2 linked regions of the Lonchura striata genome follow. The protein of the gene in region 1 interacts with the protein of each later gene in a pairwise test. Links are inferred from orthologs where the notes say so. Each region holds a gene or a part of one and is shown in the gene's direction. Other genes may lie near its edges.

Region 1 (3,746 bases):
CAGAGAGCCACATGGATAGTTATGCCCTGAAGAAAGCAGAAGTTTAGCAAAAGTATGTACAAAATGGGGCATGGCTCTGTAATCTGTATTGTCAGGTTAGCTATTTGCTGGTTGTTATTATTTTGTTTACCAGTAATCGACTGTCCTAAACTCCAGAAAAGCATTCAGGTGATTTCTGATCACATCAAACTTCTGTTTTCTGGGACTTTGCATGACAAGATTTACAACTTAACCATAGAAAGTATCAGTAAAAGGAAGTTTCCTGTTTCTTCATTTTGTTAGCATTTCAAAAAAGTCTTAATTCTTTTCACTCATTTCCATACCAGATCAAGAATTTCATTATTAGATCATAACAGATCAGCCTCCACCAAGTTCCTTTTTTTACTTGAAGTCCTACCCTTCTTTCCCTGTCTTTACAGCAGCTCTTACATTAACTTCAGTGGTTCGTGTTGTGGTTTTCTCTCCCCTTCCCACGTCAAGTGCTCCCAACATCAAGCCTGCGGGCAGGCTCCCCAATCCTACCCCGCTGTTCCAGAGGCCAAGTGCTGCACAGCCCGTATCAGAACGCTGCTCAAAGCCACCTCTCCGTGCTGCCCTCAAGCAGCAGCCTTAGGTCAGAGCTGGTTTATGACTACTTAGGTGTTGCACTTTCCCACACACAAGATTCGTGTTTGTCAACACTGCATTTCACCTTCTTCACTACTTCCTACTACTTTCACAGAATCAAAAAACCATTACGGTTGGAAGGGACCTCTGGACATTATCTAGTGCAATTCCCCTATCGAGGCAGGGTCACCTAGTGCAGGTTACACAGGAATGCGTCCAGATGGGATGGGAACGTCTCTAGAGAGGGAGATTTCACAACCATTCCGGGCAACCTGCTCCAGTGCTCTGCCCTCAATGCCAAGCCCTTCCTCGTCGTTCCTATCACAAAAAGGGCGCAGCTGTATTCCGCCTTCTCTCTCACTTCCCGGCTACTACTCGGGCCCTCCCCGACACGGCAAACCCGCGGAACCGTCCGAGGGCGGCACCGCGGCGGGTGCCGCACTTCCCCCGGCCCGGCCCTTGCCTCACCGCGCTCCCGCCCCACCCCGGCGGTGCCCCGGGCCGAGGAGCGGCGGGGCAGAGCGGAGCGGAGGCAGAGGGTGCGGCGGGAGCGGCCGTCCCTGTCGCGCTCACCCAGGCACACGAACAGCACCGACTTCGCCTCCCCCGCCGCCATCTTCCTCAGAGGACCTCGCAGCTGTCGCACCGCCCGCGCTTCGCTTTACGGCACCGGCGGTTATAGGCGGCCGAGGGATTTGCCTGTTTGGAGGGGGGAAAGGAGCGAAGTATGGAACGGGCCCGGGACAGCGGGAAGGGAGAAGGGACGGGACCGGGAAAAGGGACGGGACGGAGCCGCTGCCGGGACGGGGAGCGGGCGCTTCGCAATCGCCTCTGCCCCGCCCGCCTCACCTGCGGCAGGTGCGCGGCTCGGCGGGGCCGCCTCGGCGCCGCCCAGTGAGGCTGCGGCGGCAGCGGCGGCAGGAGGAGAGGGAGCGAGGGGGAGCGGGCGCGCCCCGGCCCGGGCAGGAGTGAGTATCCCCCGGGGCAGGAGCGGGGGTCCCGGGGCCAGGGGGGCTCCTCAGGGGCAGGAGCGGCGGGCACGGAGCCGCCCCGCGCCCCGCGGGCGGAGCGAACGCGCTCGTACAGCGCGGGCGGGACCGCAGCCTCTTCTCGCCCGGGGTCGCTGCGCGTGCTGTGTCCTCCACCTAAAAACCTTAGAAGCGTCGAATGCGGCTTTGGCCTCGCCAGGCTGCTGGTGAAATTGAACACAGGGGCGCTTCGCTTTCCAGGGCAGCTCGAGTGTCTGGTTTTTAGTTTGTTTTATTTAGTTGTATTTTATATCTATGTATAATATAGATAGGTGATATATACCTACAATGTATTGTAAAATATATATATATATATGTATGTATATATATCCACATACGTTTTTATATTTTATTTATATTTTTAATTATATAATTTTTAAAACTTTTGGAGGTATTTATTTCTATTCCTTTCTGCTGGGCTGTCCTGTATACTGTATCTCTGTACCTGGCTGGGTTTTGTAACAGCAGCAGACGCAGCCCCACCATGGCCGGGTGTGGTCAGGACTGGATTCCTCTGTTGGTTTTTAAAGACCTGCTTGGCTGGTCTTCTGGTCAAAATGCAGCACTTTGGAGGTTCAATAAAAAATGCCAGAATCTTAATTTTGTGCGAGATCTGTGACTTGCAAATGAAAGCTGAAGAGCTTGTATAATGTTTGCTGTGGAATGGAGCAAACTGCACATTTCTTTTTATGCAGCTTGAAATGCTATCCTGCATATGCAGCTTCTTTTGTAAATACAGTTGTACAACCACTTTTTAAAAATTATCTAGTTATTTGACTTGGCAGTGGAAGCAATTGGTAATCAGCAGCGTGGTTTTTGTCCCCAGTGCCTGCAGCATCCTGCTGTTGTCAGGCCAGCTCGCAGGTGTCGGGGTGTGAGGTGGGGAGCCAGGCAGGGGCAAGGGCTCTCCTTACTTGTCAGACGAGGCCTTGGTGAAGGAGGCTGAGATGAGTCAGTTGTGGCATTCTCACATGTGGCTCTGCCATACTACATGGCTGAGCAGTGCAGAGTGCCTTCAGTCCTGCTTTCTGCCACATGCAGTCCCTTGCGGTGTCGCCACTGGAAGCAGATTCCCCCCTCCGGCACACCCATTCCTGTGTTTGTGGGCTGGGGAGGGTGAGGCTCTCTATAGAAGCCGAGTGCTTTGAGAGGCTGTCCTGGAGTTCCTATAAAACCCTGTGTTTGTAGCTGTGTATGTCACATGTAGGCACATGCTCAGCTCTAATTTTGAGACAAAGTCTTTCATGTTTCCCTGTCTTTGGGAGGGGACTGGGGAGGATCCTTAAGTGTTATTCCACAATATAATTGAAGGGGGATTATCAAGCATTGGAACAGGCTGCCCTAGGAGGTTGGTAGAGTCACCATCCCTTAAAGTGTGCAAGGAACAACTGGACATGACACTTAGAGCTGTGGTCTAGCTGACAAAGTGGTGATTAGTCAAAGGTTGAACTTTATGAACTCAGAGGTGTTCTCAAACCTAAATGATTCTGTAATTTTCAGCCCTCAGCAGTGGAAGAAAGACAAATTTTTGCCTTCAGCTAATGAAAAACTTCATGCTTTGAAATGGACTGTGACATAATTCACTGTACATCATGTCATAGTTTCTCACCCTTCAGAATTATTTTTTATAGTGTAATAAGCTCTCCATATTTTGGAGGCTTTTGAAACAGTAATTGCATTATTGTAAAAGATCCTCTAATGCAGGGCTGTCATGGAGGATAACCTGTATGACTTAATGGAGAAGAAACACTCTTGTGAACAAGATAATCTAAGATCTTAGGAAGAACTAGGGTTTTTCTAATTCTTGATAAATAAATATGAAATACCTTCACTTTTTAAAGGTTTATTCCCTTTAGCTTGAAGAAATGTTTCTTGTTTGATTAATTGTAGTAATTAATTAGTTGTAGGAATTGTTGACCTCTAAGATTTGATTCATGCACATAGTGAATTGGAACATCTATGAAGTGTGGAAATGAGAGAATCAGAATGATGGTGACAGTTTTCTTGACAGAAGTGTTCAGTATTGATTGGGAAATAAGCAGAGTCTGTATTTTGCTTAGGTAGTTAATTTTTTTTTCATGGTATCATAGAGCGCTATTCTGTACTGTACAT
Region 2 (3,746 bases), on another chromosome or scaffold:
CTACTTAGATATGGGTGACTGAGGGCCCTGGGGGTGGGGAGAAATTAGAGGTAAAACCACACCGGCGTCCAACTTAAAACGTGGCCATATTTTTCATATCACTACAGCTGTGTTAAGTGTGTACCTCACTGGTTTCAAGTAGGTCCTTCTTAAGTAGTTCAAACCACGGTAATGAACTCGGGCCAAGACACACATCCTCCTAGCCGTGAACCACAACTGCTGCCGGTCAAAAACCTGCCTGCCCCCAGCCCTCAGCCAACATCGGGGCCACAGTATGCTGCACCTACAATTCCCACAGCTCCCGGGGCTCCCGACTTTCTATGCACAACTGCCCTTGCCACCTCACAGGCTCACAGAATTGTTAGGAGGTCATCTAGTTCAAGCCCCCTGCCAAGGCAGGGTCACCTGGAGCAGGTAACACAGGAACGTGTCCAGGTGAGCTTTGTGTCTCCAGAGAGGGAGGCTCCACGACCTCCCTGGGCAGTGCTCTGGCACCCTCAACGTAAAGTTCTTCCTCACGTGGAGGTGGAACTCCTTGTGGTTTAGTTTACGGCTATTGCTCCTTGTTGTGTCGCTGGGTACCACTGAAAAAGAGTCTGGCATCTCCGTGCTGTGGTCACGAGGCGAGGCAGACCTCGCACCCTGTCGGCCCTTCGGCGGAGCCCGCCCGGGCCCGCCGCTCCCCGGCCCATCCCCGCGCGGCGCCCGGCGGAGCCGCCCGGCGGAGCGCGGCTGCCCAGCGCCGGCAGCCAGGTACCTCCCCCCGCCGCCGCCTCCTCCGCCCCCTTTTGTGGCGGTGCCAGGCGGCCGCCGGGTTTCCTGCTGACGCCGGAGAGCCGCGGATGGGCAGGAAAGGCCGCTTCTGCTCCCGCCTGGCCCCGCCGGCAGCAGCGCGGAGCGGTCTCCGGGAGAAGCGCGGCGGAGAGGGCGCAGGTGCGGGGCGGGCCCGGCGGCCGCGAGGGCCGGGCGGCCGCGCCGGAGAGAGCGCGCCGGTCATGGCAGCTCCCGCTTCTTGAATGCTGCCAGCTGCCCCGCCGCCGCCGATGGCCGAAGCCTGGAGGCTGGAGGAGGACGAGGAGGAGCTGCGGGAGCTCGGCAGGAGGCACCGGAGGGTCGCGCTGAGCTCGGCAGCAGGTGAGCGGCGAGGGCGCGGCGGGCCGCGGCGTCGCGTCCTTTGGGCTGGCCCTGGCCCGCTCCCCGTGTCTGGGTTCCTGTCGGGGGCTGGGCGGCATTGGAGGTGCCGCCCCAAGGTGTGCCGCCCCGGCGGCCTCGCCCCAGGGCAGCGCGGTTCAGCTCAGGTGCGCCCGGGCCGCAGGCGTGTGCCCGCGGGCCGCCCCCAGAGCCTGCTCCCGCTCTGCGCTCACCACAGTCATACAGTGGTTTAAGTTAGATGGGACCTAAAGACCACCCGGTTCCTACTCCCCTGCCGTGGGCAAGGACTCCTTCAACTAGACCAGGTTGCTCAGAGTCCCATCCAACCTGTCCTTGAGAACGTCCAGGGATAGGGCATCACAACTTCTCTGAGCAACCTGTTCCACCGTTTCACCACCCTGAAGCTAGCATGGGCACGTGCGGACTAGCACAGACATGTCCAGGTGAATAGGTTGCTCCATCGGGAAATTAAATGTGCCAAGGTAGAGGAACATCTAGATAGCAAAGTTGTTCACTTTCAGCCATTTCTATGTAGGTATGGACAGCAGGCCCCGTCAAAGAGGTGAGAACCAGTGCATCTGAGAAAGAATGGAGCTGGGGAGTGAGCAGATTGTCATTGTAGAGAAACATGGACAACAACAAGCTTTTGTTTGAAATTATGAACTCAAGTGGATCCTGGCAGCAGCTGAAATTATATAATTTGAAGATCACTGTTAATTGAGGGTCAACATGCGTGCCACTGTCCTGTAGTCACTGAGGTGTGAATGCAACATTTCTTTTTCTGTCAGTGTAAAATCCCTTCCAGAATGAATCATTTCATAATGTCTGTTTCCAGGTAAAATCTCAGCCATGCTACATAGTTGAATTCCAAATATTCTGATTTTTAGTAATTATAGTACAACTGTAACAATATAGCACCCTTTGCAATTCATGTGAGTTTGCATCCATTTGAGCAACAAGAAATTGAGTCCCTTTTGCAGTAGATAAAAACACAGCAGCATGAGGGATGCTAGAGGAAAACTGAACAGGCAGGCCCTGTGGCCTTTAGTGAGTGGCTCAAGTTATGCCAATGCCTGTACAGGTGCAGGATTAGCAGGACCCTATTGAAACCACTGTCCTTTGGCATGTCTGCAGGGTTTCACCTTGTATGGGGTAAAGTGCAGAAAATCAGTGTTGGTTCCTGCATGGTTTCCTCCAGAGCAAAATGTTTGTGCTACTGGTTATGATACCTGTTTTCCAAAGGTGTTTCTTCTAGATGTTTTTGTTAGCAGAAAACATAGAATTGGTTCTACAGTTCATATATGTATGTAACCTTTGCCACCTTCTTGTTGGACAAAGCTTGTTCCCAGAATTTGTCTTTGGCACAGTGCTATTAACTAGTAATGAAAGGTGTTTTTTCAATTTTTACTAGTATTTTTTCCTGACAGCCACCGATTGAAATGGGGCCAGCACTGTTTGTTTACCTTACTGGTGTAAAGTATGTGTGAATGAACAGCATTCTGCTTGAGCAGTCTCGCCTTCTTTCCATCTGTTTGCACATCTCTACGCTGGAAAACACTACTAAGACTCCCAGCGGAGTATTCTTAAGGCATCAATGAAGAATATCATCCAAAGTAGATGAGTTTGCTGCTCTTCCCTTACTTGACCTTTATTTACATACTTTTGTTTACAAACCTGTTGAAAATTAGTGGGGCTTTTTTGCATGTAATGTGTGGTTGCAATGGTAATATAAATAGGTCTTAACTAAGCCTGTGAGATATTTTGTTGTAGGGTTTAAAAAAATTAGTGGCACCTTAGCAGGCTGTCAATTTAAGTATTTCAGTCTGTTAAACCAATTGTGAATGCAAGCAGTTCAAATTTTTGCTATGTTCAGCCGGTGCATGTCGGTGTAAGGGCAATTGATCACCTTTGTCCTGCCAGTGCAAGGCATGTGTGCAAAGTGGGAGCTGAAAGGTGAAAGTTCACAAGGGCTTCTGACTTACTGAATGCTCAGACTTATTTAGCAGTGGTTTATTGGGGAAGCAGAGCTCAGGAGGCTCTGCAGTGAGGAAGTAGTATTTTCCCTTGAAGCCAGTTCCAGTTGTGCTGCACCATGTACTGCATTGCTGTAGGATGAAGCTAGCTAGATTAAGCTAACAGCTAGCTGCTGCTCTAGAGGTGTGATCTCCTTTGGGGATGTGCTCTTCTGCTCTCTCTTGTGTGTCAGCTCTGCTGCTCGTCCAACCTGTTGGTGAGTGAAGTCACTAGAGTTGTGGTTAGGTGGTAGCCTGGGCTGATGTACTGGGTGGCTGCTCACTCGGAGCCCCTTTGCTTGCTAGAGCCTGCACCAGCCTGTTCTGGTGTGTTGTCCAAGCAGAGCGATATTTTTCTAGTTCTCTTCAGTGGTTGGGAGTCTTCTGATTCAGCTCACTGTAATGGTTTTGGGTGAATGTTGAAGCTGGCACAAGGGAAAGAGTAGGAACATGCAGCCAGAGGGAGGTAAGAGCCTATGCCAGTCAGAAGTTAGTTTGGCTTAGATTGCTGTGAAACTGCAGCCTGAGAACTGTTAGAGACCTACTTATGGTTTGGGGTTTTGGGTTTTTTAAATTTGATTC

The links. The genes of interacting proteins can lie anywhere in the genome.
Region 2: the proteins of SH3YL1 (region 1) and SH3D19 interact in binary tests that used the Homo sapiens proteins (3 or more experiments, as listed by UniProt). The link is inferred for Lonchura striata from reciprocal best matches to the Homo sapiens genes SH3YL1 and SH3D19.

The regions. Positions count from the first base shown.
Region 1 is NC_134605.1:94,425,897-94,429,642, reverse strand, and holds the start of SH3YL1 (SH3 domain-containing YSC84-like protein 1), read left to right. Parts: upstream 1-1,286; 5' UTR 1,287-1,330; coding exon of another isoform or gene 1,331-1,331; 5' UTR 1,332-1,573; coding exon 1,574-1,574; intron 1,575-3,746. Other genes in the region: ACP1 (low molecular weight phosphotyrosine protein phosphatase), read right to left, coding at 1,180-1,222.
Region 2 is NC_134606.1:43,631,743-43,635,488, forward strand, and holds the start of SH3D19 (SH3 domain-containing protein 19), read left to right. Parts: upstream 1-777; 5' UTR 778-1,016; coding exon 1,017-1,134; intron 1,135-3,746. UniProt on the Homo sapiens protein: May play a role in regulating A disintegrin and metalloproteases (ADAMs) in the signaling of EGFR-ligand shedding. May be involved in suppression of Ras-induced cellular transformation and Ras-mediated activation of ELK1.